2 linked regions of the Tamandua tetradactyla genome follow. The protein of the gene in region 2 interacts with the protein of the main gene of each other region in a biochemical or structural test. Links are inferred from orthologs where the notes say so. Each region holds a gene or a part of one and is shown on either strand. Other genes may lie near its edges. The genes, in order: CABP1 and ITPR1.

Region 1 (16,265 bases), on a different chromosome or scaffold from region 2:
GTGGAACGACTGCCTCGGCTTCTCCAAACACCGGGGGCGGGCGGGGGGACGGGGGACGGGGCATATCTGGAGAAGGCGGGGCCACCCCGCCCCCACGACCGAGGGAGGAGTCTAGGGGAGGGCCTTGAAGTCTGAAGGGCAGGAAAGACGTCAGGGAAGGTGGATGCAGAAGGGTGAGCAGCCAACGACTTAAAATTCCCCTTCAGAGACGTCTCCTGCACCTTCCTCGGAAACGGCGCCGGGGCAGCATCTCCGCCGGGCCAGAGCCGGGCATCGGGGCCGTGCGCACGAGCAATGAGCCAAGATGGGTGGGAAAAATCTGGAAGCCCCGGGCTGAGTCCGGCTTCTGACTGTTGTCATCACCTTACGTTCCTGAGCCTCGGTTCCCTCCTCTGGAGACCGGGGCGTCCTCTATCTTGCTTATAAAGTGGGAAAGTGAGTGGCACATAATAAGTAATTATTAAAATGGAAGGGATTGTGGGTGAAGTGATGCAAAAGGGTAGTTTAGAGTCGTGTCTGTAACCAGCAGGAAAGCTGGAGGTTAAAACAGGGGGCTGTCTAACATAAAGAATCTTGTGGTGGACGACAACTGACTAATTGTACAAATATTAAAAAGTTCTTTCATGACACTATTACAAGGAGCTACTAATAGAGGGGTATAATGGAAAGAATGCTCCTGTTGCAAATGATGGACTATAGTTAACAGTAATATCTAATATTCGTTCATCAACAGTAACAAATGTACCACACCAATGCTTAGGGGTCAATCATAGGGGGGGATAAGGGGTGTGGGATATTATTAGTTTCCTATTTTCTTTTTATTTCTTTTGGGGGAGTAATGGAAATGTTCTAAAATTGATTGTGATGATAAACGCACAACTATGCGATAATACCGCGAGCCATTGATTGTCTACTTTGGATGGACTGTATGGTGTGTGAGTATATCCCAATAAAATTGCATTAAAAAACAAAAGGGAAAAAATATCACAAGTCCAATATTTGCATGCCAGGCACTGTGTTTGGCTCTGGGAATGTTGTGGGAAGCAAGATAAACACAGGCCCTGCTTTCAGGAAGCTTACATTCTAGCAAGCAGGCAAGAGATTAAATAGCACTGCACACAATTACATAATTCTATTTCAGATACATGTTATGAGTGGGGAAACACAGGAACTCTGAGAATATGGAACAGGAGAATCTGACTTAGTCTGGGGAAGAAGGAGACCAGGGAAGACTTGTAGACAAAATGTAGAAAATTGACCATCTGCAGAGTTTTTTGAAAAGACAGCACTTTCTACAGACCCTAGAGGGGACTTCGGTTAAGCACCAATTCATTCCTATTAACTAAAGGGGTTGATAGTGTAAAGGCAGTCCAGCGTAAAGCAGAGGCTCTCAGAGCTGGCTGCAGGTGAGGATCCCCAGGGAGCTTGCCCAGAGATTCTGATTTAACAGGTCTAGGTGGGCCTTAGACATCGATGTTATTTAACACTCCCTGGGTGAACTAACCTTCAGCCTGCGTTGAGAACCATTCATTGAGATAGAGGTTAAGAGCCAGGAATATGGAATCAGACAGACTTGATGGCAAATCTGACCCCTGCTATTTTATGACTATGTAGGAACTGTGTTCTAACACGAGGACATGTTAAGCTCTTCATTTATAAAATGTGTTTTCTGATAGGACCCTCCCTCCTAGGGCTCTAGCGATTAAATGAGATAATACGTGCAAAGGGCTTGGCATAGTACTGGGAGCATGAGAAGTGTCCACTTCCCCTCCTAGCGTGAGTCTTAAAGGGACAGCTGTCAGAGTGGGTGTGGCATCACTCAGCAGGGCACCTACTCACTCAGACCTGGTGACTCCTGCCCCCTGCAGGCCAGCCCCAAGCACAACACCCGCCTGTCAACCTTGGGATATGCCTCTGTCCTTGGAAACAGGAGACAGCAAAACCAGGCCCCTATGGAAAAGTCATGCACTTTGATGTACTCCCATCCTGTTTTTTTGGGAGGGGAGCTGACACTAGTCTGACTTAAGAACAGCAAGGGACCCAGGTGCCTTCAGACCCAGTGCTTCAGAGCGTACCTAAGCTATTTAGGGTGCACAGGTGGGACAGTGGTGGTTCTGAGTGAAAGGAGAGGGGTGGGGACCAGTGATCCTGGCAGGGGACAGATGGTGCAGTCGGTGACAGGGGCATCCCCTAAGGAGTGAAGTGCATCGCCTGGCCCTTCTCCCTCTCCCTGTCCCTGTCCACGGTGGCAGCAGCCCCCATGGGCTCTGGAAACCGCTGTTAGAGTTATGGAATGGAGCAATAGGATCAGAGGGATGAGAAGGATAAGCCCGCTGTTGATTATTCCTGATTAGGAGGGAGGCTAGCTTGGGCCGTGTTTGAACTTGGATGACAGCCCAGTGCTAAGATACTCGGGGAAAGCTGGGTCCTGGCATGAGAGGTGCTAAGGAGATGCTTCTGACAAATAGGAGATACTTATAGTGACTTCCCACCAAACCAGCATGGTGCAGCACAGACAGATGTGTTTGGAGACAGGCAGCCCGTAGTTCTCATCGTGGTCCTGCCATTTATTTACTCTGTGACCTTGAACTTTTGCTCTCTGAGCCTCTAAATGGGGACAATAATGCCAACCTTCATGGGTTACCAGGAAGAAAAGATAATGAGAAGATACTTTGTCAGTTGTTTAGGAGGCTCTAGACTGAGGTCTCAAGTACCCTTGTTGCTTCCCCAAAACTGCCAGAAGCAAAATACAGACATCCTGGAGGCCTCCCCAAAACTGACTGCAAGCCACTCCTGTCACCTGTGATTGATAGTGGCCGTAAGCTGACCTTCTCCTTTCCCCTCCCCAGGTCCCAGAAGAAAAGCCGGAGGGGCTCCCACCAGTCTCAGCCAGAGGTAGAAAGAGACTTGGCCAGGCCAGGAGTGAGTTATGGGCCTAGCTGTCACTCTAGGAATATGTGCTTTAACCCATTAGGAGCCAAATCAGCATAGTTTTTCTCTTCCATCAAAAGCTGAAGTCCAGAGGCTAGAGATACCAATCATTCATCCATCCATCCATCCATGCATTCATTCATTCACTACTGCCATGTGCAAAGCAGTCTGGGAGCAGTGCTCGCCTACACAAACCAGAGATGTCCCTATAGCTTAGAAAGAGTGAAGGATAAGACAGAGCTCTGGGTTTTTATCATCATTTGCCTCCTCGACAAGGGGTGTTTCTTCCCAAGCTTTGGGTGAGGAACAGAAAGCCTTTTCTTAAAATAGTTTTCCAAGACCCAAAGCCAAGAGTTCCCCCAGATCATCTCTATTCTGAGTTAATTTCTGACACCATCTTCTTCTCTCCAGGCAGGTGGGTGGCATGTCCTTAGCTGGCCAGGGGGAAGGGAACTAGAGAAGGGCCCTTGACAGTCAGTTTCTTCCTTTAATACCTCTCCCCCCTCGGCTCACAGGCAGCTTTCAAATGGCCTTATACAGACTCTCAATCAGGCAATTATTCTGTTAATAGTAATAATGACATTAATGAAAGGTGCCCTTTCTTCTGTACCACCTCTGAGCCAGGCAGTTGCCATCCTTAATCTTGTGTAAGCCTCGTAATAACTCCACAAGACAGTTTTTGTTGGTCTCATTTCTGGATAAGGAAACCAAGACCAGAGAGAGAGAGTAACAGGCCCAAGGTCACACGACCAGGAGGTGGCAGAGCTGGGACTGGACCCTGCAGTCCCAGCTCCGGAGTCCCTCCATGCCTTAGCCTCAAAAGCATGCTGTCTCCCTGCAGGCAGTGGGGATGCTTTGCAAGGTCACTGAAAGAACCCTAAAAAAATCCCTGTTCTTCCTTAGTGGAGGAACCTATTTTGGTACCTTCAATGCCACGTTGAACCCTGGTTCTCCCTGAGGCTATTACAAATGGGAAAGAAAACAGGTCTGACACAGCCCTTGGTGGTTAATCAATAACAACCACGATAATAATAATGAATATTATTAGAACCTTCACCGTGTGCCACACCCTGGGCCAACTTCTATCTCCATAGTCCACTGAATTTCCCCCAAATTCATCAAGATGCTATGGTTATCCCTGTTTTGCAGAAAAGAAACAGAAGCTTAATGAGGCAAAGCAATTCACTTAGGGTTAAAAATACATGTATGGGGTGGGCCACAGTGGCTCAGCAAGCAGAGTTCTCGCCTGCCATGCCAGAGACCTGGGTTCGATTCCCGTGCCTGCCCACGCCAAAAAAATATATATATATACATGTATGGCACTTGAGAAATGTGGAAAATATACTTCCTCAGGGCTGTTCTGACCTAAGCAAATCCTAGCTGGAAAGTTTCTATATTCAGTGCACTGTTTCCACTCTCTAGGTCCTGGCCTTGTCTTTAGGGACAAATCTCAATGCAAAGAGGAGGGAAGGAAAGACTAATTCCTCTTTGTCACAGGAGACTGGAGGCTCTGATACAAAAGTCCCAGCCTGGGTTTTGTTGCTGTCGCAGTTGTCATTTAAGCAGATGCCTTAGAGACATCAGCAGGAATCCCAAACTGCATGTGCTGCAGCCCCAGAGGCCAGAGCTTCCAGGAGGTAGTAAATATTTGATGGGACCTTCCAGCTCCTTCTGACTCAGGTGACTCTGGTGACATTTCAGAACACTGGGCTGGGAATCTTCTTCATTTAATGACTGAGAAAGTAGAAGAGCCTGTAGTTGAAATGCTCAGCTCAGCAAGGGCCCATGCAGGCGAATTCCACCAGACTGCAAAGAAAGGGCCCTTTTTCTAAGAACCAACTCAGATCGCCAGCAAACTAAATAACCAGAAAGGATGTGATTCAGGACCAATGACATACCTTTCCACACTGCAAGACTGGAAGCTCTCCAGAATGGGCCAAGGCCCTGGCTGTCTTGTTCACTGTTGTCACCCTACTGCCTGGTCAATGTGATGCAGAGGAGGGGCTCAAGAAATACTGGATAAATGAATGAGTGGGTGTCACACAGCATCCCTGTTGCCCCTCAGTCCCGCTGCACAACCCACTTGTGTGCCCAAACACCCTTCAGCTCCTTACTAACACAGAAGCCACAGCAGTGGACTTTTCCCTCCACACATTCCCGCACGAACTTTCACAGCTCTGCCTCCAAATCCTGACTCCAGAGGACTGTTTCCAGCTAACTCGGCTAATGAGGTCTCCCTGTGGGAACAAAGCCGCACACTGCTGCCCTATCACATCACCCCAGCAGCCCGCTCAACCCGAATCCATGTGTAGCTGCCTTCATGTCAGACCTCCCCCGGCATCAGCCACTGCAGTGTAGTATTTTGAAAAGGAATGTGCAGATCTGAAGCCACACACACACACACACACACACACACACACACACACACACGCTCGGCCTTCCTTGGAATTGTGACCCAGTCCGGTGAAGTCAGGAGTTTGAAACGGCTTTTTTACTCTAGATCCTAGCACAGAAACTCTGGGGCCCCCTCTCTCCTACCCCCACCACGCGCACACAAATACACACACACGGTGCAGATGCTCTGATCAGACCTCTGCGCTACTCCCTGCCTTGGCTGCTGCAGAACTGTCTCGATGCTGCGCCAAGGATTTGGACTTGAGCACAGACTCGGCACTGGAGAAAATCCTGGCTTTGCTCAGGAGTTCACAGGTTCCTTTCCGCTGAGCCCCTCTCCCCAGCAGCGCACTCCCAAACTGCAGAGCTGGATGAGGATGACAGATTGGCTTTTTAAAGGGCAGGTGCCCAGCTGCCTGGGACCCCTGAGGGAAAGGCCTGCGGGTAACAGAAGGAGTCACTGGTGACCACTCAGTGACGTTTCTGACTGGAAAAGGCACCCCTACTCAGGCTAGGGGCCTATGGGTGTTGTCCCATGACCTTCATCTTGACAACTGCCCAGCTGCCATTCAAACGGCATCCTTATTAATAGCACCTCCTTATAACACCCCAAAGTTGCAGTCTGAACCATAGCTCTGTACGGCCCCTCTAGCAGACACCTCTCCTCTTTCTCACATTTTTGAGACTCCCTCTAGCTCTCCTAACTTTTTCATTCATTGCGTCTGTCTTTTCTCAAACGTCTGGGACCATCGTAGACACAATGGCCCCCAGCAATTCTATGTGCCTGTGCCCCCTCTCTGTACTCTGGAGTCCAGACTCCTTGCACTCTTGGGTCGCTTCCCGCCAGCTCCGAGCGCCCCTCCTCGACCCCTGCAAATCTCCAGGCGGATAGTAGAGGTTGTTCCCTTCCAAGGCTGGCGGACCCCGGCAGGTGTGAGGTTGGGGCCTCGCCCAAAAGAGGCCGGGAGCGCGGACAGCGCACAGGGTGCTGAATCAGGCACCGAGGAGGAGGCACGCGGCAAGGGCGCCGGGCCGGGGGAGGGCTGGGGGAGCCGCGGCGTGACCCTGGGGGCCGCCGGCTGTGGGGGGAGGGCTACGGGCGCGCGGCTGCGGCAGGGTCCCGAGCGCCTCTCCCGGGAGCGCGGGCGGGAGGCGCGGCCCTTACCTGGCCGAAGGCGGAGCTGAGCATGGGGCGCAGCCGGTGGAGGAACGGGTCCGCCTCGGACGCCGCGGCGGGAGCGGAGTCCCCGCCGGCCGGGGCTCGCAGGGAGCCCCGGAGGCCGAGCGCCGGGGCCAGTCCCCGTTCCTCCCCATCCCGCCCGCGGGCCGGCGGCAGCGGCGACGGCGGCGAAGGTCTGGGCGCCACGGCCGGCAGCGCCTCCCGGGGCCTGCCGTGCGCCTGGGGGAGCCCGCGCCGGTGCCCCCGCGCGCCCTCCTCTCGCGGCGCGGGCCGGCACAAGGGTCTCCGCGAACTGGGGTCCCCGGGCGGCGGGGTGGCGGGGCAGGCGCCGGGTAGCCGGCGGCCGGACAGCCCCGGCTCCCGGACAGGCCCGTGGCGGGGAGCCCGGCTGCCCCCGCTCGCCGCCGCCGCCTTCAGCAGCGACGTCTTGGACTCGCTTTTGGCGATCTGCGAGCTCATCGCGGCCGGGCCGGCGCTTGCATGGCCCGGCGGGGGCGGCGCGGGGCGGCGCGGCGCGGGGCCCCCGGCGGGCAGGGAGCCGGGCGCCCGGTGGGAGCCCAGCCCGAGGGCTCGCTGGAGGCGGGCGCCGTCCCCCGGCCGCTTAAATGCGGCCCCGTTGCCGCCGCCCATGTGACAGCGCAGCGTCTGCGCCCGGACCCTGGAGCTCCCGGGCGGCTGGCGGTGCGGATCTGGGGGGGCCGCTGGCTGTCCCCCGAAAGCCCACCCCCGGCTCTCCAGCGGCCCAGGTACCGCCGCGCTCCGCCTCTTGCCCCGCCCAGCGTTCGGGGAACCCCGCTTCCGGGCGGCCCCTGGCGGCGGACGGGGTGCTTCGCGCGGAGCCGGGAGCGCAAGGGAGGTGGCTTGGTTAAGGGTCCCAGTAAGGTCGAGACCCTGGTGGCACCGGCAGCGCCCTTTATCAGGCTTGGAGGTGCCCACAGGGCCCCGGAACCTCCTGAGCCGCAGGCAGAGTGCACCCCCGCAACTTCGGAAATTAGGAGGAGAGAGGTGCAGGAACTAGCGACCTAAGGAGGGCCCAAGGACCGTGCACAAACACAGGAGCCAGAATGGTGTGGAAAGACACTGCTGGAAGGAAAAGCTCCACTCTATAGGGTGCGTCACTCACCTCCCAGTCCCGTGGAGTGAGGCTGGGATGACCCGGGTAAATGGGGCGCAATATGCTCACTTCTCAGAACAGAAGAGAAGCCAGGTGGCCTCTGAACTGCTGGAACGGGGTAGGGCCTGGTGATGAGCAAGTCTCAGGTAGAACCTATTTGCCCCTCTTTCATCTTGTCCCCTTTCTCACCTTCATGCCTTTGTAGATGCTGGAGAAATTCCTCCTCTTGGGAGGGAGTCACAGAGGCTGGGCAAGAGTCATCACCTCTCTGAACCTTGTTTTCCTCTTCTGTAAAACGCAGGCAACAATCATAAATAACTTCATGGTAACAACAGATGACATCATGCACATAAAAGGCCCAGCCTAGTGCTTGGCACAGAGCACACACAGCCAAGCGAGGTCCCCTCCCTTTGCATGTCAGGAGGCCCCCATCTACCATGCTTATCTAGTAACATCCCGGATGTCTGAGATCCGAACAGGGGTGGACCTCCCAGGCTCTCCCTGTTCTGGCCTCTGGCCCTAGTACCATCCATGCGTGAATAGGGTACAGTCTGGTTACAGCTTCATCTTAGGACAGATACACAGATTGCCAATATGCTGCACTGCAACTCCTGCCAAGGCTTCACCCTTCTCTGCAGTCTGCTTCTTTCTTTCACATACCCATATGGAAGAAACTAAGAGAAACAGGATGGGCAGGTAAAGCAACTGCCCAGAAGCCAAAGTGAACAAGGGAACTGTGACAAATTGTACCCCAGCTTTCACCTATTGCAAGGGGCTGAACTGCCCTACTGAAGTCGCCCAGGCTCCTTAAAGCACAGCACCAAGGCAGGCCGGGCTGCTGCAATGTCCACTCGCAAAGCAAAGTGTAAAGAGTTCACCCTCTCTGGGCTTGGAGTCAATCAATGTCTTACCTGCTCTAGCCCTCAGAATAATCAGTGTTTGTCGGGATTAACTACAGATGTATATTCAATATAAATCGCAGGAGATAAAGTACGTTATCCAGTCCCTCGGGAGCTGATGGGATGCAGTGGGCTGATGGGCATTCCAAATCTCTGCTGCGCCACTCTTGGTTGCCTTTCTCAAACTCCCGAAATGCCCTGGGGCAAGACCTCTGTCAGCAACTACTTTCTGAAAACACGGAAGTACCTGGTTACAAAGCATGTGATTATTAGAGTGAATAAAAGAATTCAAAGTTCCATTTTGTTCCTGAAGCAAATGGATGAAACAGTCTATTCTGGATGCACCCCAGAACTCCATTTCATTTGTAACATTCATTAATTTGGTCACTTATTTTTTAAAAAGCATTTATAGAGCCAGGCACTGCATTGGCACCTGGGATACACAGACTCACCCATGCATTCAACAAATATTGAGTGCCAGTTATTTGCCAGGCACTGTTCTAGGTACCAAGGAATGGCAGTGAGTAAAACAAAATCTATCCTCAGCAACAAACATATAAATCCATGGAAAAGTAACGGCAGGTGACAAAGTGGTGATGTTTTGTGCCATGAGAACTAAAGTGGGTAAGAGAATAGGGTTTAATGGAGGGGACTGTTTTAGAGAGTGGTTAGGGAAGCCTCTCTGAGGAGATATTTGAGCAGAGAGCTAAATGAAGTAAGGGAGGAAACCACATCTTTATCTGGGGCAGAGATCTCCTGGCAGAAGGGGAACAGTTCAAAAGACCTGAGGAGGGAGCAACTTGGAGTGTTCAAGGAGAAGCAAGCAAACAAGTGGGGCTGGAGTGAACAAAGGAGAGACCAGTAGAGCTGAGGTTGGAGAGGAATGCAAAAGCCAGATTGCCAAGGGCTTGGGTTTTTTCCTAAGTGTGAAGGGAAGCCATTAGCCATTGTAGGAGGAGCCAGGTGCCATTACATGATCCAGGTAGGAGATGATGGTGGTTTGGGCTAGAGTGATAGTGCAGAGGTGGTGAGAAGTAGACAGATTCAGGAGGTGTGTAAAGAATGGTAAGATTCAGTCCCGGTTCTCAAGGAACTCAAATTCCTTGAGGAGAAAAACAACTATAATATAATAAGGAACATGTAATAAAGGAATTACAAGCTGGGTTATACGGGAGCACCTAAAAAGGGCCTTTGTGCAATGGAGTTGGAGGTGCCACAGAGGGTAACTTTGAGCTGTGCTTTGAATAAGTGAAATGCCACCAGTTGCATAAGGAGGGTAAAAGGAAGGGCATTCTAGAGGAAACAGCTTAAGTGAAAGCTTGGAGTATGAACCTGCATGGAGTGTTTGGGAAGAGAAAGTTATTTGGGTGGAGAGGAAAGAGACTGGGAGGGTGGGGGGAGATGGGCCTGAAGAGGTGGTTTGGAACTAGACTGTGAAGGATCTGGTATGTGATATTTAGGAATTTATTCTTTATTCAATAGACAATGGATGCGCAGCCAATTAAGCCGACCGTCCCCCTCTCCCCATGCGGGCCGGGAGTGCAGTGGATGCGGACAGCAGCCTCCTTGGTAGTGTATGCAGCCTGTTGCTTGTATGGGTTGCCCTAAGGGACCAAGGAGACAACTCAGCCCTTTCCTGTTGATGGTCCTGTCTGGCCTTGCGCTGTCCCCAACCTAGGCTCCAGACAGGTATGCGTGGTGTCTTTGGAAAGCCCCAGGGTATGGTGGCCAGAGTCCACATCAGCCAAGTCATCATGTCCATCCCACACCAAGCTTCAAAACAAGGAGCATGTGATAAAGGCGCTGCGCAGGGCCAAGTTCAAGTTCCCTGGCTGCCAGAAAATCCACATCTCCAAGATGTGGATTTTACCAAGTTCAATGCTGATGAATTCAAAGACATAGTGGCCGAGAAGCACCTCATCCCAGATGGTTGTGGGGTCAAGTACATCCCCAATTGCGGGCCCTTGGACAAGTGGTGGGCCCTGCGCTCATGAAGGTTTTGCTGGCACTGCCCTCACCTGATCTGTGCCCACCAATAAACTACTTCCTGGCTGTCCAAAAAAAATAGACAATGGAGAGTCCTTGAAGGTTTTTTAAGTGTGTGTAGGACATAAGCAGAACTGTGTTTTTAAAGAGAATGTTGATGCATTGTGGGGCTGACAAGAAATAGAGTGGAGGTAAGAAGGTCAATTAAAATTGCTGAGTGCCCGCCACGTCCTAGGCATTGGGGAAAGAGTAGGAAAGAAGTCAAGCAGCATGCTTTCCTTCGTGGCATTGAATCTGGTAAGAAGGTGTCTGGGTCCACTCAGGAAATATTTCCAAAATACCATCATTAAGACATGAATGTGGAAAAGGAGAATGGCTTGCCTCTCTGATTGTGAGATATGCTGGAAATAAAGTGACTACAAAGAGTCCTGCCATGCAGAAATAATTGTTAAATAATCCCTCTGGATTGTATAGATCTTTATAGCTTTACAAGAATTTTCACATAAAGTCTGTCATTTGTCTTTTTTTTGGAGGGGGGGCATGGGCAGGCATTGGGAATCGAACCCGGGTCTCGGGCATAGCAGGTGAGAATTCTGCCTGCTGAGCCACCATAGCGTACCCTGTCATTTGCCTTTTAAGTGTTAACCAAACTGTAATTATTAAATAAGTTACATGTTGTTACATTATTTGACTATATAACTTTTAGTGAAAATTATGCAAAAGAAGAGTTATTTTGGAGAGCTGGAAAGACATCCCAGCACAAAAGGGCTGTTAAAAAAGAGAAGATGGGTCTGGGACCATTATGTTAATCAAGAAAGAACCAGTATATCTAGCTGTCTTTATTCTCATTTCTAAGTCATTCATAACGAGTAAGGCAAGCTTAAGGGCAAAATTCTCAAAATGGGCTCCTGGTGCTGCTTGTGTGCTCGTTCGGTGTGGACCTGGTACCTCTTTTGTGAAGCGGTAGCTGAGGAGACTCCGGCTTTCGCTATGGCGGACGAAAAGCCCAAGGAAGGAGTCAAGACTGAGAACAACGATCATATTAATTTGAAGGTGGCGGGGCAGGATGGTTCTGTGGTGCAGTTTAAGATTAAGAGGCAGACACCACTTAGTAAACTAATGAAAGCCTATTGTGAACGACAGGGTTTGTCAATGAGGCAGATCAGATTCCGATTTGATGGGCAGCCAATCAATGAAACAGACACACCTGCACAGTTGGAAATGGAGGCTGAAGATACAATTGATGTGTCCCAGCAGCAGACAGGAGGTGTCTATCAAAAAGGGAGCCTGCTACTTTACTCCAGAACTCTGTTCCTGCAGACCAAGAAGACATTCTCAATTAGAAAAACCGCAATTTGGTTCCACCACATCCTGACTACTACAGTATAGTTTTCTCTATTCTTTCATTTTACCCTTCCCTGTTCCTTTATTGTACATAAAGTAACTGGTGTATGTGCACAAGCATATTGCTTTTTTTTTTTTTTAACTAAATGGCCAATGGTATGTTTTAATCGACATCAAATGGAGATGGGATGGGGAAAAATACTGGTTCTGTGAAAATACCCCCTTTCTCCATTAGTGGCATGCTCATTCAACTCTTATCTTTATATTCCAGTAAGTTATTTTGCTCTCACTGTTTAACAAAAACCAACAACATAAAAAAAAATCCTTGCATATCTTGTTCGATTGGAGAATTTTAATGTTTTTCATTTATCATTGTAAAACCAAGGACAATTTTATAACTTTTTTGTATGTAGCTGTTACATGTAGGGCAATCTGTCTTTAAGTAGGGATAAATTACTCTAAAAGAAATGAATCCTAGATAGTTTTCCCTTCAAGTGTCTTTGTTGTTTAAATAAAATTCTTGTTTAAAAAAAAAAATTCTCAAAATGCTCACAGATCTCTCATTTAACATATCTATCTCAGTTTGATAATGTCATGTCTCTGTGGCAAACCCCTTAAAAACTGTTCTTTTATTCTGGCCAAGACCGTGGCTTGTTTAGAGTCTTGAGAAAGGTTGCAGAGCATTTGTACAGTAGTGCAATTAATTCTCTGTGACGTGTCTGGTCTAGCTCATTTCTTTCCGCTGCTGTCAGAGTCAAATTCTGCACTTAATCTCCCCTTTGTTTTCAGATGACAAAATCTCTGTTAGGTTTCAGAAAGCTGGGATTACAGAATGTTCTTATGGCTTAAATCCTCTGCGGCGATTGGGGAACTCGGGAAGGGAGTGGATGAGAATTGAGGCGGAGGGGGAGTTGGTGGCCTGAATAGGGGATTCTTTTCCAAAAGTCTGCCTGCCGTTTGGAGCTGAATGTTCATCACTTAAGAGGATTTTAATATTTTTTAAATAAAATGAAAGGGGGTGTGGGCACCAAGGGTATATGCATTTGTCAAAACTGAACTGTCCACTCAAGGCTTGTCATTTCACTGTGCGTAAATTACAACTCAATAAAAGAAAAATCAAACAAGCAGGAGATGTTCTCAGGGACATGAATTAAGATTTTGAAAATAGTGGCAACCGAACTCGGTTGAGAAGAAGCTCCGACAGCGAGTCAGAGGTTGTTACAAGCTGGGTACTCTGGAGACCATTAGCTTTCCATGATTTTGTGTGTGCAGCCAATATCCCTAATCCTAGCTAGTGAGTTCTTTATTTGTTTCCAAGTCACAAGGGCAAAGGAGAGAAAAGGCATAAACAAGGCAGCTTCTGTCCCCTCCAGATGACTGATCAGTCAGAAGTTCTCAACTTCTTTAAGAATGGCACATCTGTTCTCCAAATATTAAGATATATTTGCCCCACCATCAATGTCATTCAGAAAATTCCTTCCTTTCTTTCCCTAATCCAGAGCAGTTTTCAGTCTCTCTGAAATCCGGACAGTGATCATCTCCTATGCCTGACTCCTTTAATATTGATGGCACACATTTGGGTACTCTAATAGTGTAGATACATATGATAAGTGTACAACACACCGGAAGTTAGTCACTGCAGCTATGCAGTTTCCACTAGCCAAAATGCAACCCATATTCAGATGACGTCACGAATCTCCAGCCACGGTGCCCTCCTTTATTATCAGTCTACCCCGCGAGACTCCACTAGACTGTACATTCCATGAAAGCAGAGACAGGGGCTGTTTTATTTACTACTGGATATCCAGCACTTAGCACACTGGCTAAACACATAATAGTGCACTCACAGTAAGTGTACAATTGAAACCCAGTGAAAACACATTTTAAAGAGCAAAAAGTTAGTGTTTATACAGAAATGAATCCCCTTTGTTTAGACTGAACAGGGGAAAATGGAATTTACAAGACTCTGTGGCTTGTTTTGTTTTTCTCCTTCAGACAGATCATTTCTGTTGTATGAATATACAACCTGGGTCCCGAGTGACCAAGTGTAAAGCCCTTTCAGGTCCAGGTATGTTTTTGCCATAGGCAGGAGAGTTCTGTGTTTTAATTAGAAGGTTCCATTCAAAATCAGAGTCAGCCTATGTGCAATCTGTGGGCAGGGCGATCACATCTGTGGCACCTGGAGTTGTATTTTGACCCTACACCAAGCAGACGTCTTGGTACCGCACGGTTGGAAACAAAGGGGGTTCGGCAAGGGAAATGTTAGCAGAGGGATGGGAGGCACTTGGAAGCTGAGAGATAAATAACTATTCACCACCCAGGATGGGAATGTTTCCATATTTTAACAATTGAAAGGCAATACTAGAGTATGTCAACTGATTTCTATTTCCTAAGTATTTCTACCACAGGTTGTCTGAGAAACCTCTGCTTCCTTGAAAGCTGCCATTCCCAGGTTTTTAGGCGTCTTAAAAAGGACATCAATACATCGTGGTTCCTTCTGAGAAAGGACAAGGGAGGCTCCTTGCCTTACAGAGTTCTGAAGTCGTTTTCCTTTAGCAAGGATGACATCACTGACTCAAAGATGGTTTCCAGTCAACTGCCCTATCTGGGGAACAGTCATTTCTGCAGGTATGTGACCCACTGTTACAGAGAGAAATGCAGACTTTAACCAGCTAATATCTCCTCTTCCAGCTCTGGCAGAGCCAGTCCTGCCCCTTTGCTGTGTGAGACCCAGCAACAAGGATGCAGACAAGGACTACACGGGGTGAGGGAAGTCAGAGCCCCAAAGATGCTCAGCCTTTAATGGAAGAGGGCTCTTAGAAAAGATCTGGCAAATTCTCTGCCGTTTCAACTACACTTTCTGTTCTCTTTTTATCTGCTTTCAGCATTTCCAATTAATCTTGGAATGAGAGCCGAAGGCAAGAAGCCAGGGGTGTCTGCCGAATACTAAAGAGCAAATTGATCCAGGCAAACAAATGCCAGAGAGGGACCCCACGGCACAGAAACAGACACTCTGAGCAGCTCTCCTGCTACCATGAGGCTTGCGAGGCGTGTACGCGGGTCTCCGCATTGGCACCATCTGCCAATTCCTCAAGAGGACAGAACAAACCAGCGAGGCATGAAGATTAGATTATGTAATGCTCGAGGATTGCTGTTTCCAAAGAGGAAACAAATGGAACGAATTGATTTGCTTGTCAGAGACATGTCACTAAAGGAGACCCGTTCCCACCTCCAAGGGGCATGGTTTCACAGATTCTGAAAAATGTCAGGCCACAATCCACTCCTTTCAGAAGAGCAAGTCCAGTTTCCAGAGTTGCACTGACAAATCATCTTCTGGTCCCCTGGCCTGACAAATGACTATTCATTCAGCTACACCTAAAAGGTAGCAACATGGCAAGGACGTAATTGCTAGTTGCCAGCTATGCCTGAACACTCTTGCTTCTGGGGAAGCAGCATCTAATTTTGACACCAGTGGGGTCGTGTTTTACTCTTCAGAGCTCTAAACAAATGCTTTCAAAAGAGCAGGGATGTGTTCTTAAAAAATGCATGCGTTAGGGAGAATTCACTGCATTTCTGATATCCCTTTGCTACTGCTGGGCTTCTCTCAAAATGCCCAGTATGGTACTTTTTAGAGTATGCTCAGTGGATCTGAAGAATGAACTGACTGCTGTAGTTCCGAGCCCAAAGGTCCCCAAGCCTCCATAAGATACCAAGCTTTAATATCAAGATTGAACAAGTATCAAATGTAGCCTACTGTACCAGCTATTTTCCATTTGTCCCTCCCGATCCACTTTTCCACCCTTCCCCATCCTGCTCTCTGCCCTGAGGAACTGACCTATATGGACTATATCAATTTGCTCCCTTGCCTTTTAGCTTCCAATTGGGTTCCGCCAAAAGGAAGCAGCAGCAGGCGACTGGAGGGCTGGAGGGCAGGGAAGCTGAAGCATTTATTCTGCCTCCCCCCCCCCACCCCCAACCTCCCTCTTTGTTAGACAGACTCATGTTGATTGTGTCTTTGTTAAAAGGTCACCGCTCTTCCCAAGGTGGGCCTTTCCATCCAACTCTCTCTTTCTGGGTTGGGTAATTTCTCCTTCCCCTCAACCTTCAAATCTGTGGGTGGTAACAGCCTCAGCTGTTACTAGCCCTCCAGGAACTGCACTGTCCCTCACAGTTCCCCTAAACCCTGTCCCAAAACCCTTTGTAACCGGTCCCCTTTATTAGCCCTCCTCTAATTACCTAATTTGAGTTCTACCATCTGTTTCTTACTGGGACCCTGACATACACCTATCACACAAGTCAGTCTGTTCTAGGCCCTGAACGACATTATTTTTTTAAGTAGCGAAATTAATAATACAATATGTTACTACTTTATGTAGTTATTCTCAATGTTCACCTTTTCCCAAGGCTATAATAACAA
Region 2 (16,151 bases):
TAGCAACTTCACACCCTGCTTCTCTAACCAAGTGACATTTACCAGAACAAGAGGAACACAAACACTTCGCTTTTCCTGAAGGCAAAATGATCATTCAATAATGTCCAAATTAAAAATTATCAGAAAATTCTTACCTGACTTCTTTTTTACAGACAATAGGTCTGTTTACTGGTTGCTGCATGGAAATCTTTTCATTGAGCCTTATTACAGTATTTTCTCATTGAGGTACAAAGCAGTACATTCAGAAACTTAGAAAGAAAGACCTTGCTTTTTCTGTGAGTGGGTTTCTTTTTCTTTTAAGCACCCTTGTTTATTCCTGATGATTAGAATACCATATGCTTGTTTAATTTTTTTCTCATGAACACTGATCTTTCGAGAACAGCTCATTTGCTTCAAGGGTAGCCAATTTCTTCCACTTTCTCAAGGTATAGCAAGTGTTGAGTCAGACTTAGACTGCCTCTAAAATAAACGCATTTTCTTCCTCCTTCTCCCTCTCCTCCTAAAAGGCAGCACTATTATAAATGTAAACAGGGTGTGTTGGAGGTAGAAACGCATAGAGAAACTAACAGGCAGAAGCTACTTCCCTCCTTCACTCCCTATGTTATAATCAATGTAAATGTTTCAATGACACAGGTTCATTTTAATAATATGTACCTTCAATGGAGAAATTTTCCAGCGTGAACAGACAGGTAACTGCGTAGTGGTGGGAGTAATTAATGGAAGGCCAGAGGACCTGGACAGCATCTAGGAGATCTCCTAGGTTATGGGTACTAGGTCTGCAAAATATTACTGGAAAGAAGGAAAATGGATAGGAAAGACCAGCTGCCACTATAATCCAAGATTACAAAGCAGCTGGTTATCATTTGCTATCACCGATGCACCGCATTCGGAATTCCTCTGGAAGGAAGATAGTGATTAAGAAAAGCAGACATTCAAAGCACTTTGCACTCTACTCAGTGTTTTCCAATGCCCTGGGTGCCCAGCACTGTACCTGCTAGGGTCAGTTTCCATTAACTATCAGTTTAAAAATGACAATTAATGAAAGAATTTAAGCAACTAACAAAATGTTCTTGTGTAGTTGCCTCTACTCTATCTCCCACCACTTCAAATCCACTTCCCTAGGCTGACCTTACCTAACTGACCTGTTTCAGGATGGATTGAACTCAGACTCTCCTCTGCTGAACACTTGATACAGACTAGTGTAAGTGCTAAAACTCCAATTCAAGGGAAACACTCTTTAAAATCTGGAAACAAAATTAAGTGACAAAAAGAAGCAGTTCATTTGCCTGAGGCTGGATACACCGAAACCGCATGGGAAGTGAAAAGGCTACAAATTCTACTTAGTTGGTACCTGAATTAAGTAGAATTCGGTGCCCAGTTTAGTGCCTAGGCATATTTATCATTAAATAACTTTCTCAAAAGAAGGGAAAGATGACGCTTGCAAAAATTCTCAAGTTTTCCATTTCTTTTTTCTCATTCATAATTCTCTTTGCTTTTCTGGTTGACTTGAAAGAAACCTACAAAGGACTTTTTTTAAAAAAATTATTTATTAATTTAAAAAATTAAGAAACAAAATAAAACAACATACATAATCAGTAATTCACAATATCATCACTTAGTTGCATACTCATCATTTCTTAGAACATTTGCATTAATTCAGAAAAATAAATAAAACGAACACAGGAAAGAAAAAAAAAAGATTATACCTACCATACCCCTTACCCCTCGCTTTCATTGATCACTAGCATTTCAAACTAAATTTATTTTAGCCTTTGTTCCCCCTATTATTTATTTTTATCCCATATGTTCTACTCTTTTGTTGACAAGGTAGATAAAAGGAGCATCAGACACAAGGTTTTCACAATCACACAGTCACATTGTGACAGCTATATCATTATTCAATCATCCTCAAGAAACATAGCTACTGGAACACAGCTCTACATTTTCAGGCAGTTCCCTCCAGCCTCTCCATCACATCTTGAATAACAAGAGGATATCTACTTGATGCATAAGAGTAACCTCCAGGATAACCTCTCGACTCTGTTTGGAATCTCTCAGCTATTGACACTTTGTCTTATTTCCCTCTTCCCCCTTTTGGTCGAGAAGGTTTTCTCAATCCCTTGATGCTGAGTCTCCATTCATTCCAAGATCTCTGTCCCACGTTGCCAGGAAGGTCCACACCCCTGGGAGTCATGTCCCACGTGGAGAGAGAGGTAGGGTGGTGAGACTGCTCATTGTGTTGGCTGGAGAGACGGGCCACATCTGAGCAACAAAAGAGGCTCTCTTGGAGGTGACTCTTAGGCCTAAATTTGAAGTAGACTTGACCTATCCTTTGCGGGGTTAAGTTTCATATGAACAAACCCCAAGACTGGGGGCTCTGCCTATAGCTTTGGCTGTCCATACTGCTTGTGAGAATATCAAGAATTCAACTTGGGGAAGCTGAATTTCTCCCCGTTCCCACCACTCCCCGAAGGGGGTACAAAGGACATTTTGAAACAAACAGCATAACTTATAACTTGGAGCTGTTGGAAAACAAAATTGTGCAGTTGAGATAATATTTTGCATTTTACCCAAGAAGTCAACTGTAGATTTCCAATAATTTATTGTACTTTTTAATCACTTTTAAAGAATATAGAGCAATGGCATTAGATATAAAATGACTACTCTTCCCGCAAAACTGTACAACTCATAAAGATGGGCAAGATTTTAGATAATTTTTTGAATAAGAGAAATAAGTATAAATACATGCATTATGGTTGTGACTGCAGCTAATGTCAACATTACCCAGACTCTTAAAGTAATTGATAATATCCAGCCACACAACACAAGTATGAAGGGTATAATGTAGTGGATAAGAGCATGGCTATCTGATCAGGGTTCAAATCTTGGCTCCATCAGATACTAGTTCTTTGACAATGCTAGCAAATTATTTAACCTCAGTTTCCTCATCCATAAAATGGGGTCATAACCATATCTCACTTATAGGGTTGTAGTAGAATTAAATGAGATATTGTACATAAAAGGTTTAGCTTAATGTCTAGAATTTGGAAGGAACTCAATTAACTGTAGCTGATATTATATTTACAATTATGAACTCCAAACTGTGAAAAAAACCTTAGCCACGTAAATACCAACAGCGTGGAAGGAATTGTAGTCACCTGAGTTCTGAAAATCGCCAGGTGTTATATAACCTTTTGAGGGATAAAGTACAAACAGTAGGTTTGATATTTGTTTATAGGATAGGGAGAAGGCCCTTGTACTCAATGTTCTCTTGCTGTCAATATTTTTCTCTAAAGTTTTTATTTTGAAAAGTTTCAAAATCAAAAATATGGAATAATGAACAATACATATCCTTCATCTAAATCTACTAATTATTACATATTGCCACATTTGCTTTCTCTCTGTCTCTTTCTCTCGTTTGTCATCTATTGATAATCTTTGTCTAACTCAGTTATTGCACTAGAAGTTGCAAAGTAGTGATTTCCTAGTTTTATTATTACTTTTACGTGTATTAGCTGGATTTTTCTGCAAAAAAGAGCTTTCCATTTTTCTTTTGACAAACATTTCATCTCAGTCCAAACATTAGGGTAAAACAATGAGGCTTTTCCCTAGATTTTTTCAAGACCTCAGATCCAGTTTGACTATCAGAGCAGAAGGGAGGGAGGAGATGGTGAGAAGTGTCTGAGCCGATAATAAACCACTGGTTTTGCATGTTTCCTGGGAAAATAATGTATAAAGAAATAACAGTCTTCAGCCAAAGTTCCTAATTTGCTTACCTGGTTCTAGGCAACATTGGTACCAATCACCAGTGATAATATAGCTGCCACTTCCATATGTATAAAGTGTAGCAACTTCTTATTTTTGCATTCTTTTGTGACTTTTATGCTGCTTCCTGGATCTTAAAGTTAATACTGGCAATTTGCCTATGTTCCTTCCATGTTCAAGGTGATTGACTAGCAATATCTTCTTCACTTCACATCTAGGACGGCAAATATAGGGTCTCTTCCTGTTTGTGTCTTTCCTCAGCCTTACAGGATGTCCAGAGCCTGAATTCAGGAAAAATACCTTGCTTTTCCTAGCTGCACACCAAACTGATTGCTCTCATTCAAAACAACACCAATTATGCTTTTGCTATGTCAGTTAGGGCTGCTCCATGGTTCCTCGTCATTTCTTCTGGCCGGCCTGTGGTTCCAATAGTCAATTAGCAAGTAACTCTGCGTCCAGAGCTGAGTGGGATGCTACAAAGAATACAGAAATATAGGACCTGGTGCCTATTTTCAGGAATTTATCACAGAAAGATGGAGTTAAAAGATTATCTAATCTTGTGGGAGTGTGTGTCTATGAATGAGGTTTGGGGGTTAGTATAAGAAGCTCCATGAACTGGTGCTAATCTTTTGAGTATCTAAGTTATGCTGTGTTCTAGTTTGCTAGCTGCCGGAATGCAACACACCAGAGATGGATTGGCTTTTAATAAAAGGGGATTTATTTTGTTGGTTCTTCAGAGGAAAGGCAGCTAACTTTCCACTGAGGTTCTTTCTTACGTGGAAGGCACAGGATGGTCTCTGCTGATCTTCTCTCCAGGCCCCTGGGTTCCAACAACTTTCCCCGGGGTCATTTCTTTCTCCATCTCCAAGGGCCTGGGCTGAGCTGCAAGTGCTGAGATGAGGAATGCTGAGATGAGGAATGCCAAGCTGCTAGCAGTGCTACATTGCAATCTCCCATTTAAGTACCAGCCAATTAAGTCAGACGTCACTCATTGCAGCAGACACGCCTCCTAGCTGACTGCAGCTGTAATTGGCAACAGATGAGGTTCACGCACCATTGGCTTATGTCCTCAGCAACAAGACTAGGTATGCTCACCTGGCCAAGTTGACAACTGAATCTAACTAACACATGCTGGGACACGTATTCATAGCTTTTATAGTTTTTCAAAGAGGGTTGTGATTCTGTCCACTTACTATACAAAAAAAGTCAACAGTGACCAAGAATGACCAGTTGGAAGACTGCACAGTAGCTATTTCTGTGTATTGATATTTTTTTATGTTCAGAGGCAGTCTAACACATTAGGTAATGAATTAGCATCAAAAAAATGAATTCTGTGACTTCATTGTCAGGCATTTGGTCTTGCCACATTTAAGAATGACTTGGAGAAGATTTTAATCAAGGCTTCTTGTGATATCCATAGGCAATTGAAATCTTGTGCCTGGGAGAAAAATGGGGATTGTGTGGCCCAGTAATTTGAAGTTTGCAGCTGAGTACTATAACAGGGCACGGTGATATTGTCCCCATCCTTGTCGATAGCATTCTCTTGCATTGGTGTTACTAGGGTAAGCTAGCAAAGCCCTCTCATGTCCAATGATGCATTTGATCCAGTTAAATTATTAGCTTCAATCTATCAATGAGAAGACAGATTGAGAATCTATCAATCTATCACAGACCTGGGCCTCTGCAAGGTTAGGTGACTGGCCACAGTTACAGGGATATCAAGGGTGCAGTTGGTTGTCCAACCTATTTTTTCTGACCCAGCTCTTTCCAGCATATTTTGTTCTCTTAGGACAGTAATTAAGGATGGGCTTCTAGGTAAATGCCTCCAGTTGCAGTTTTCAGCTGTGTACTGCTGCAAAAACCTGTTTCTATTTGTAGGGGTAGGCTGGCATGCTTCTATTGGGTCTTCTTCAAACTTCTGCTCAGTCTATGATATTTTACTGACTCTGCAAAGCCCTCCCGTTTCACTGTGTGGGCATTTCAAGGGCAAAGTAATCAACGGCTATTTTCAGGACTGGTCACCATCTTGATTATGAACTTGGAAATCAGATTCATAGTTGTCTAGACGAGCATGGTCCAATAGAATGTAATAGAAACCACATAGGTAACTTTATTTTAAAAAGTAACAAGAAGCAGGATTTATTAAATTTAATAATTTGTTTTAACCCAGTATATCCCAATATTATCATTTCAACATGTAATCCATATAAAATATAAATAGATATAAATTATGAAGATATTGTGCTCATTTTTTTGTATTAAGTATCTGAAATTCAATGTGTATTTTATACTCACAGCACATCGCAGTTAGGACTAGACACATCTCAAATGCCTAAATGGCTTGTGATTACCATATTGGACAATACAGGTCTAGACAATTCTTTCAGGAAAAAAACAACAGTGAAGAAAAAGAAACTCTCCTTCCTCTACTGATAATGGAGAACAAATTTGGTGGTGGAGTTTTTATTCTGACATGACATACATCTTCATCAGTCATCAACCATGCCTTATCATAGACAACCTCTTAGGAAAACGGCAAAATTAGTAAAATTACTTTCTAGTGACCTAGTTGCTTCCAGAACCTGCTGTCAGTTGTAAAATGTTGACTAGGACCATCTGCACACACCAGCAGAGAAAACAGGCCATGATATGAGTGGGCTGCAAAGCTTGTGTGCTCAAAAAATATGTTTATCTAGCCTGTCACATGCCTGACACAGTTTCCATTAAAGCCATTAAAACATTTTTTTTATAAACACTTCCCCCCCACACGTCTACTAAAATGTGCAGAAGACTAATCCTTGCAGAATCAAGGGAGGTAGGGAATACAGGCATGAATGAGACACTGTCCCTGCTTCAAAGAAATTTGTGGTCTAGGAGAGAATGCAGACTTAAAGAAGTTGGAAAAGCAGGTAGGGGCCAAGTGTTGACTGTACAGCAAAGATGAAACGCCACTTCTCAAGCATGACCAAATTGTCTTCTGAAAACCCATGTGAAAATCCCATTGTGTTTCTGAGTTAGAAGCACATGAAAGAATTACCTTTCACTATTTACCAATTATATTAGCATAGGCTGGTTTGTGGAATTTTCTTGAAAAGCAGAGTCAAAGACCCTCTGGAAAATGGAGTTTCTTGATGATGAGATGGCATGACATAACTAATAATCACTGACATTGATTGAATACATGCCATGTGTCAGGCATAGATCTAAGGTCTTACTGTATTTTGTCTCATCAAACCCTATTGATGAACCATTTTACCAATGAGAAAACTGAGTCATAGAAAGATCAAGTAACACTGCCAAATGCTAGTTGGCAGCAGGGTCTAGCGCTCAGGGAATGGTGCTGAAAGAGAGGAGGGGGCAAGAGTGAGTAAAAGAACACAAACTTTGTCTGCTTCTGGAGCTTTACCTAGTCTTGGTCTGGTATTAAATTCATATAGATGTGAGATAAATAAAATACATATGTTTTTGTATTTAGCAGACAGTGGAGTTTAGAAGTTAAGGTCAAGGACTCTGGAGTCAGACAGCCCAGACACCTGTATGACTTTGGCAATGTTTTTTGACCTCTCTATAACTCAGCTTTCTCATTGGTGAAATGGTTCATAAGTAGGATTTGATGAAATAAAATACAGTAAGGTTTTAGAACAATGCCCGATGTGGCATGCATCCAATTAATGCCAGTGATTATTAGTTATGTCATTGTTATTTCTGTAATTATTTTTAGCTGCAGTGAAATTGGTGCTAATTTGCTCCTAAAGTTTTGCAAGACTGTTGACTCTATATAGAGTCAGCAATCCTGGGAGAAAGTAGGCTAAATCTAATGATTATCTTCCTCTAAGATGCAAAACAGGGGCAAAGAGATAAAAATGACTTGCCCATCCGCGCAGAGGCAGCTCCAAAAATGGGTGAAGGAGGGCTGTGCAAGTCTTTCGCACTGGATTTCCTCAAAGACAAGGGCTTCATACACTCAAAGGAGTTGGAACCGAAGTTGGCTCCACCACTTACAGGTCATTTTGGGAAATTACCTGATTTCTCTGAATCCTTAGTTTCCCCACCTGTCAAAGAGGGATAACAGATATGCCTAAGGTTGTTGAATTTTAAAATTCATAGCATGATGCAGGAAAAGCGTTAAAATAAATTCAGCCTCCACGACTTTATTATGATTACTGTTGTAAGCCCTATGTCTCTCTGGGGTGCTGCCCTATATTTTGGCTTTCCATCATGCCCCAGCGTCTGGAGCTCAGGAGGCACTCCTGAAACGTCTGCGGAATGAACACGCGTGTTTGAGACAGGGAAACCAGTCGGCGGATTTTGCTTCGAGGTTAGCGCTTCCTCTCCTTCCAAAAGCCGAGCCTGGAGCGGCTTGGGTTTCAGGAGCCCGGGGGCTGCCTGGCAGTAGGCTGCACCCACCTCGCCCCGGACGCCGGTGTACGGCTGCGGGAAGTCGACCCGCGCGGACGCGCATCTCTGGGGCAGCGACTCCCTCCAAAGCCCTTATTTTCTTATTTTTCTGGTTTGCGGCTTATTTACTTAGGCAAGTTAGAGCTCCCAGGGGTAGAGGAGCCGCCCGAAGCAGGGTCAGAACTGAGGTCGCGGTTTCTATTTGTTTTCTGCCTCCAGTCTTAGCGCTGCAAGTCACAATACGGCCTTTGAGCACCAAGAGACTCACGTTTCCTCACTCCTCCGTGGGGCTGAGAAGGACGAGCAATTCGGGTTCAGGAAAGTGCTCAGAAGCGACCTGCTTGCGTGGACCGTCGTCTGCTCACTTAGTTTTCTGTGCAAACCCGAGTGGGGAGGATCAGATTAAATAAAGAAAACCTCGAGCCTTTAATCCCTGACCGCAAACATTGGGGTTTTTGTGCCCGGGATTTCTGAAATTCTTGGCTCAGAGATTCAGAGTAGGGGGGAGAGTGGGTAACAGCTTGTAAAAACTTCCCAAAGCAGAAATGCGAGTTTGCACACTCCACCTCCCCTCCAGCCCCGTCCTCCGGTCCCCATGCTACCTGGATGCAAGGGAAGGGGGGGCAGCCGGAGGAGGAGAGCCTCCAGGGGTTGGGGCTCCCTCCAGGGGGCGCGGACTGACAGCCGCACCACCCCTGGGCGAGAAACCCGGTTAAAAGCCCCTCCCCCGGCTCCGCGCGCGCCTATTTAGGACCCAGCCTGGGAGCCCAGGGGATTCTGGGGCTTGTAGTCGATCCTTCCAGCCCCAGGCGCCGCTGCGACCCCGGACTCGGACTACATTGCCCAGGGAGCTCCCTGGCCTATATAAGCGGCGAGGAGCTACTTCTAAGTGCAGTAACCATGTGGGTGTGCTGCTGAAGCGTTTCCTCAAGCTCGCCGGGGTGGGCGGAGAGGAGGAGAAGGAGGTGGAGGAGGAGGAGGCAGGGGGTGGAGAAAGAGAGAGAGCGCACGCCGGGAGGAGGTGTGGATGTTCCGCTTCCATCCTAACGGAACGGCTCCCTCTTCGCGGACATGGGATTACCCAGCGGCTGCTAACCCCCTCCTCGCCCTGCTCTCCCAAACCGGCCTGGCTCCCCCGGCATCAAGGTAGCGGCTGGGGCCGGGCAGAGGGCGCGGGGAGTTGGTGCTGTCCCTTCGGGCGCAGAAGTTTTTGCCCCGCTCTCTGGGAGTTCTTGATGGATATGCCTGCACTTGGCGTGCATTTGGGCGTTCTTTTACGCGGGGTATTTTTTTGAGAAGGGGCGGGGGGCTATTTGAAGTCTAACAACAATGAAAAAAATCCTCAACTGCTGAACCGGCTTTGAGGTCACCCATTCTGGACTGGAATGGCATTCCCCCAAGTTGAAAACTGTTGCAGCAGCTGCAGGAAATTGTTTGTTTGGGTTTTTTTTTTTTTCTTTCCGGGAGGGGGAGGGCGGGGAGAGTGTCATATGTGAATTTGCTCAGGGAAACAATTTTTCTAAAAATGTAGCCCTCCCTCGTGCTACAAGGTTGATAGAATAATACATGCGTGAGGACTCCGGGAGGAGGGCTTTACGAGACGGAAGAAAACCGGAGGGGAGCGGTAAGGGATGAAGTGTGGACGAAGCTCATGCCCAATGAGGATGCGGGCTTCTGATTCTTGGCCTCTGCTCTAAGAAACAAGTGCTTTGGAATCTGCCAAGCACTTCCCTTAGTTCCACACTACCCCCTCTTCCCCGCAGTAAATTCAAAGTTTGTGCGTGCCCAGCGCACATTTGTCAGTTGCATGCTGGAAATAAGTAAGTGGAGTGACCTGAGATCTTTGCCCGTGCAGTCACACCCACCTGCCTGCCGAATTTGGGTGGCCTGCCCGGGAGACGCTAAGGAAGGTGGAAACCTGGGGTTTGGAGCATTTCTTTAGGGAGCCTCGTTCCGTGGCCTTTACACTGAATTGTCTTTCTTCCTGAATACTTAGGAGCTGACCACAGAGGAGCAAAGCTGGGCGTGTTTTGGCAACGGAGTGCCTGACCCGGGTCAGGTGAGTGGACGCTTGAGTGCTGTGGTCAAAAATGAGTTTTTGTCCTAAGTGTATTTAAAATACACGCTAAAGAGCTATGGAGATGGGGCTTAGGAATGAAAAGTAAACTCTGTAACATTTGTCAGTGCCGTTGATGAGGGCTTTAGGGAGGATGAAATCCAGGGGGCAGTCCTGCCTAGCACTTTTGGCCAAGGCTCAGAATGGAAGTAGCCTGAAGGTTTATGAGAGAGTGGGAAAAAGACTTTAAATGGAGTAATCAAAGGGAGGCTCATTGGTGGCCTGAAAATCGAACTTGCCAAGGAACGTGCTGATGATTTCAGTTCTGAAGGATGCAGTGCATTTCATCTGCCAAGATATGTAAGCAAAAATGAACTGCCTCTCTCTCTTTCAAAAATAGTTGCCTCTTTTTTTCTTACTGTGAATGTGTGCTTAATTAGAATAGGTTGAATTGCAAGAAATGAAAGTGGTTGCTGACGAGTTGAAAGAATTAGAGCTTTAAAATGGGAAGTTAGTTCTTGAAGTATAAGTTAGTAGCACCCAGCCATTACTAAGCCACCTGAACTTCGGAATTCTAATGGGTCCTTGTGGTTTCAGTGCCTGTCGTGAATATGAGCTGAAGGTAGGATTTATCTGTAAACACAAGCAGCTCCTCCCCCTGCTCAACCCCCTCCCTTGACAATGGTCAGACTGCACTTTAAGAGAGGGAGGTTTTAACGGGTACACAAACATCCACATTACTGTAGATTTGGCCATCACAAGTTTTTTTTTTTTCTTTTAAAATGGTCAATAACATGGTAAACAAGTGGTAATGGGGATGGCTGAGTCTTAGTAACTCCTTTAACCTTCTAAATATTTAGCTGTTCCCTGGGCTACAATCTTTGGGCTTTTCTAATTAGAAAATAGAAGTCAGGCACTTCATTATGGTAGTTCAGTGCTTTTGTTTCCTGTTGATAAGATCCTAAGGAGTGTTGGTGGAGTGGGAAGCATTTGGATGTGTGAAGCCTAGTTCCTTCTTGGAGCCCTTGGATTTTATTGACTTGCCTGGCTATTTGGGCACTCCTAAGGCCGAGGATTGAGTAAAGCGCCCCTCTTCAAAGTAAGCTGCAAACAAGGAGAAACTGGCTCACAGACTCTTCTTTGACGGGAAGTACTTTCTGTATGCCAGGTCCAGAGGCATATAGCATGGAAACACTGTTAGGTAGGTACAGGTGAAAAAAATGAGATGCAGAGAGTTAAATTGCCTGGTGGCTAGTATGTTAAATTTCCTGGTGGCTAGAATGCAGTGGAAGTAAGATAACCCCAGGCAGCGGAAGTCACAGTGCATCTTAGAAATGCACCTAGTTTACAGGGGTGGAGGCCAGTGAGGGGGATGTTCGGAAAATTGGTAAACTTATTGCTGTTGATGAAATAACTATTGATTGTCACACCAGTGATGGATTCACAGCACTACCTTGCTGTGAGAAGGAATCGATGTAATCATAAATATAGGGATAAAAGAGCGTAGATGTTTGAGGAGGTGTTAGATGTGGTACATGGTTCTCTTTGGAAAGCTATGTGTTGAAAACCTGAATGCGGAAAGTAAAAGAAACATAAACAAAACAAAACTATGGGGAACATTGATTTCAGCATGGGGTTCATCTCATATCTGAGAAATATTTTGATCATCAACATCAAACAGGTTGAAAGAGTCTGTTGTTTCTCCATCTGAATAATTTGAGAGTTTAAATTGCTGTGCACTGTGAAATGTTGATATATTTTCACAAATGTCAACTTGCTCTGTGGCCATTTGAGCATAATATACTTTTTATTTTATTTTCTTTCTCTGTACGTGTGTGTGTGTGTGTTTGTGTGCGCACATATGTGTGTTGAAAGTGCAAACTGCTTTGACTAATGCAAATCAGAGCAGAAAATCCTATCAAGATTTTCTTCTTATCAAGCAGGGAAAGTTCTTCATGTTCTAAATTAATTATTCCTGGCCTAGCTCTGAGACCCACGAAAGTCATTTGGGATTGACAATGGCATCCGTTTAACCAACTGGTTGCCTTTTGCAGGGAATTGCTGTTCTCTTTTTGAGAATGAGAGCAGTAATACTTGCTTAGAAGTGAAGAAATAGATAAACTCCACAAGACAGATTTGTTGCTTTACCTTTAATATATTTTCAGCTCAGGAAGACGAGTTGTTTCATATAAAAACAAAATAAGTAAACAAAAAGAAAGGAATAGAGAAAAAGAAACGTAAGCCAGTTTGTCTTCTAGAGAAAGAAAATCACATGGCATTTTAGTTCATTTAAAATGGTCTCATGGAAACTTTGATCTCTTTACAAGCAGCTCTTAAAAATGAAACAACAAATACCAAATATGAACAACAACAACAACAAAACAAAATAAAAGTAGGCCTGGAGTTAGGTTTCTAGGTCAAATTGTCCTTGAATACATCTGATTAAGGAGTCTAGACAAGCCAATGTCCCACCTTGTTTGCTGTTGGTTTGGGCTTTTAAAATACAACACATTGAATTTGCATGTTCTCCATTAACTGGCAATGAATGTAGATTTTTAGTTCAGTTTTGCTGTTTAAGATTTTTGCACAGTTCTTTGGATGAATGCAATTAAGGCTTGACGCCATTGACATGTATGTCATACCTCTGTAATTCTTACCAATTGAGTGTCTGTGGTTCTGAAACAATAACTGATGAGGATGAGCTGATTAAACCACTGAAACCCGAACCTATTGAGCTTTGAGATTCCCTAAACTGGGCATAATTTAAGGCACTTGGTGTGGTTAAAAAAAAAGGTGGACCATGTTGGAGAAATGTCAGGGAGGCCAGGGTGGGTTGGAGCTGTGGGGAACTGACCCTGGGGCAGGTGCTAGGAAATCAGTGAGAGAGGAGTAAGGGTCAGACCATATAGGGACCAGGTTTTTACAGGTGTACAGTGGTTGAGCTGGGGATGTCGGAACTCTTATACAGTGCCCAGTTGATTCTCAACATCACTGAAGTATGTCATTATTTCTGAGGAGAGCCCAGTAAATCTGACAAAGCCACATAACCAGAGGGGAGCTTAATCTACAGGGTAAAACCCAGGTTTCTATACTGGCTGGTTAATCCCATGATTTACCCAGATTGTAATTCAGTTCAGTTCAGCAGAGAATCCTCATTGATAAATAGGTGAGCCTACAGCTAGTTTGGATAGCATGTTCTAAGAACCTAGCGATATGTCTGCAGTTTATCTTCAGCACAGACCTTCTGTGTCCCACTGCACCCTGCAGTTGGCCCAGTCTCACGTTAAGGGAATTACACAATGAGAAGTAATCCTCTGCTTCTGTAACATCTCTGGGGAATGAAAAGTTCCCCAGAGAAGTGAAGTGGACCCCTTCATATGTGCAAACTTAAAACAAACCTCAATTTTTGTTATTTATTATGTGAAGATACGCGTTTTTCGTTGTAGTGAAACAGAAAATAAAGGCAAGCAAAAAAACCACCAAAACCAGCTACCCCTAACTCCACCGTCCAAAGATTCGGGTTCTAAACTTTCCCTTTCTCTCTGTCTGGATATATATGTATAAAAATCATGGGTATATGTCAAGTTCATAAAAAGGGACTCATAGAATGCTTCCTTCTTGGTAACTTTCCTTTTGCAATCAATCTATCTTGAGCATCTTTCCTTGTTTATAAGTAGCCATCTGCGTCTCCATTTTCCCGAAGGTGGCTATGCCTTTGATGGGATGTCATTTGAGTGATGACATGCATGGAATCATTAGGTTAAAAGTGTATCATTTAGGTTTCATCATTATCATACAGTCCAGTTTTTCTCATTCAGTTTATACTGTATTTTTAAGAAAACTAAAAGTAAAAATAAAGTACTATGCATGTTCGCTATCTTATTACAGGAGTAAAGTATAGTAATAATCTCATTTGAATATAAAATTTCCCATTTGTTCTTCAGAGTAACCTAATGCTGTGAGATAGGTAGATAGGTATTTATTTATTTATTTGCTTGTACTTAAAAAGAAAGCTTTACTATAGAAAATTTCAAATACATGCTGTATTAGATATTTTAGTATAATAAACCCTTCTTTAATACTCTTAACAGTTCTTTCCCTACTCTCAACAGTTATCTCACAGCCAATCTTGTTTTATCTATATCTTCATCCACTCTCATCTTGGATTATTTGCAGCAAATCCCAGACATACTAGTGCATCTGTATTTCATTATGCATATCTAGAGTTGGGATTCTTTCTTAAAACACACACAAAAAACATAATCACAATACTATTATTATCACATCTCAAAACAAAATGAAAGACTTTTTTTACCAAGTCTATATTCGTAATTCTTTGATTAATGTGTATGTAAGTTAAAACAAATGTATTTAATAGTTTGTTTAAATCAAGATCTCAGTGAAGTCCATATATTATAAATGGTTTATTTATTAATCTACATATTTCCCCTACAGTGCTTTTATTTCCATACAGTTTTTTGTTTTATTAAAGAAACTGGGTCATATATTTTCCCATGGTTTGGATTTTACTGAGTGCATCAATGTGGTGAGCTTCACATGTTCTTTTATTCCCTACCTTTACCATAATTTGGTAGTTAAATATAGAGTCATCACGAGATTCAGGTTCTTTTCCTTTTCTTTTCTCTCTCTCTCTTTTTCCTTTGATCAAGTCTACCTTGTGAGCTTCACTTGGGGGAGGTATGAAAAACTGGGTGTTTCTTTTTGTGTGATTATATTCAGAATTCTTTTTAAATTTTTGCATTTTGGGGATGCTTTCAATAAAACTGTTGAGGTATTAAGTTTTCCTCATTTAAATTTCTATTTCCTCGCTTATAAGATGAAATTGACAAGAATACCTACCTGATGACAAGTAAACCACTGATGCTCATTTCCTTGGTCCATTAGTTCATTTGGAGTTGTAAAACCCCTAATTCTATTTTCCTTTCTTTATTTATTAGCTGGGATACTTTTGTGAAAAGAAATTGCCTCCACTTAAGTATTTGGTTACCTTGAGGTACAGTTCATGTAGGAAAGGCAAAGTAGGTGTTTTGAGTCTATTTATTTTACCAGTTTTCAAAATAATGAGTTAGTTCCCTGATGTCCTCCAAGGCAGTGGTCATAACCCAGGACACTTTTACCCCCCTATGGGACATTCAACCATATCTAGAGATATTTGGTGGCCACAACTGGGGGTGGGGTGGGGAGTGGTATGCTGCTGGCACTAAGTGGGTTTAAGGCCAGCTATGCTGCTAAACATCCTACAGTGTGCAGGCCAGCCTCTCATCCCCCAAAATTATCCAGTCCAAAATGCAAAATATAAGTCTTGCCACCATTGAGAAACCTTGCGTAGTTATCCTTATTGATGCTCAAATTATCTATCTTTAATCAGTGAGAGGCTATTCAGGTGGTCTCCGGTATCTTTTTTGATACAACCTTAGAGATCTTTGAATGCTTTCTTGTTTTCTATCTGACAAGATGTTCCAGGAACATCTCTGTATTTCTTGCTCTTGACGTGGAATTGGCCATTTCTCCAAGGAGCCCTCGTTCTTTTGAGTGGGAAATGGTATTTAGAAACCTCTGCTTAGTATCAGGTAGGTATTCTTGTCAATTTCATCTTATAAGCGAGGAAATAGAAATTTAAATGAGGAAAACTTAATACCTCAACAGTTTTATTGAAAGCATCCCCAAAATGCAAAAATTTAAAAAGAATTCTGAATATAACCTAATTTTTTCTTTAAATTGGTCTAATTTCAAGCCTTCATGTATTGGGAGCTAAGACAAAGTGGTATTGCTGAATTAAGCAGAAACATTCCACATTCGTGGTTTTAAAACTGTGTAGTGACTCATTCAAAGGTCGTGAAATCAATTTAGTGAGTGGCTATCAACTTTTTTTTTTTTTTAACGCAGTAGACTAAAATAGAAAATATCAGTG

Evidence for each region.
Region 1: the proteins of ITPR1 (region 2) and CABP1 form a complex in vitro, tested with the Homo sapiens proteins (2 studies listed by BioGRID). The link is inferred for Tamandua tetradactyla from reciprocal best matches to the Homo sapiens genes ITPR1 and CABP1.

What each region holds. Positions count from the first base shown.
Region 1 is NC_135331.1:20,848,800-20,865,064, reverse strand, and holds the start of CABP1 (calcium-binding protein 1), read right to left. Parts: upstream 7,136-16,265; coding exon 6,491-7,135; intron 1-6,490. UniProt on the Homo sapiens protein: Modulates calcium-dependent activity of inositol 1,4,5-triphosphate receptors (ITPRs). Inhibits agonist-induced intracellular calcium signaling.
Region 2 is NC_135335.1:45,007,575-45,023,725, reverse strand, and holds the start of ITPR1 (inositol 1,4,5-trisphosphate-gated calcium channel ITPR1), read left to right. Parts: upstream 1-10,272; 5' UTR 10,273-10,532; coding exon 10,533-10,579; intron 10,580-10,598; exon of another isoform or gene 10,599-11,420; intron 11,421-16,151. UniProt on the Homo sapiens protein: Inositol 1,4,5-trisphosphate-gated calcium channel that, upon inositol 1,4,5-trisphosphate binding, mediates calcium release from the endoplasmic reticulum (ER).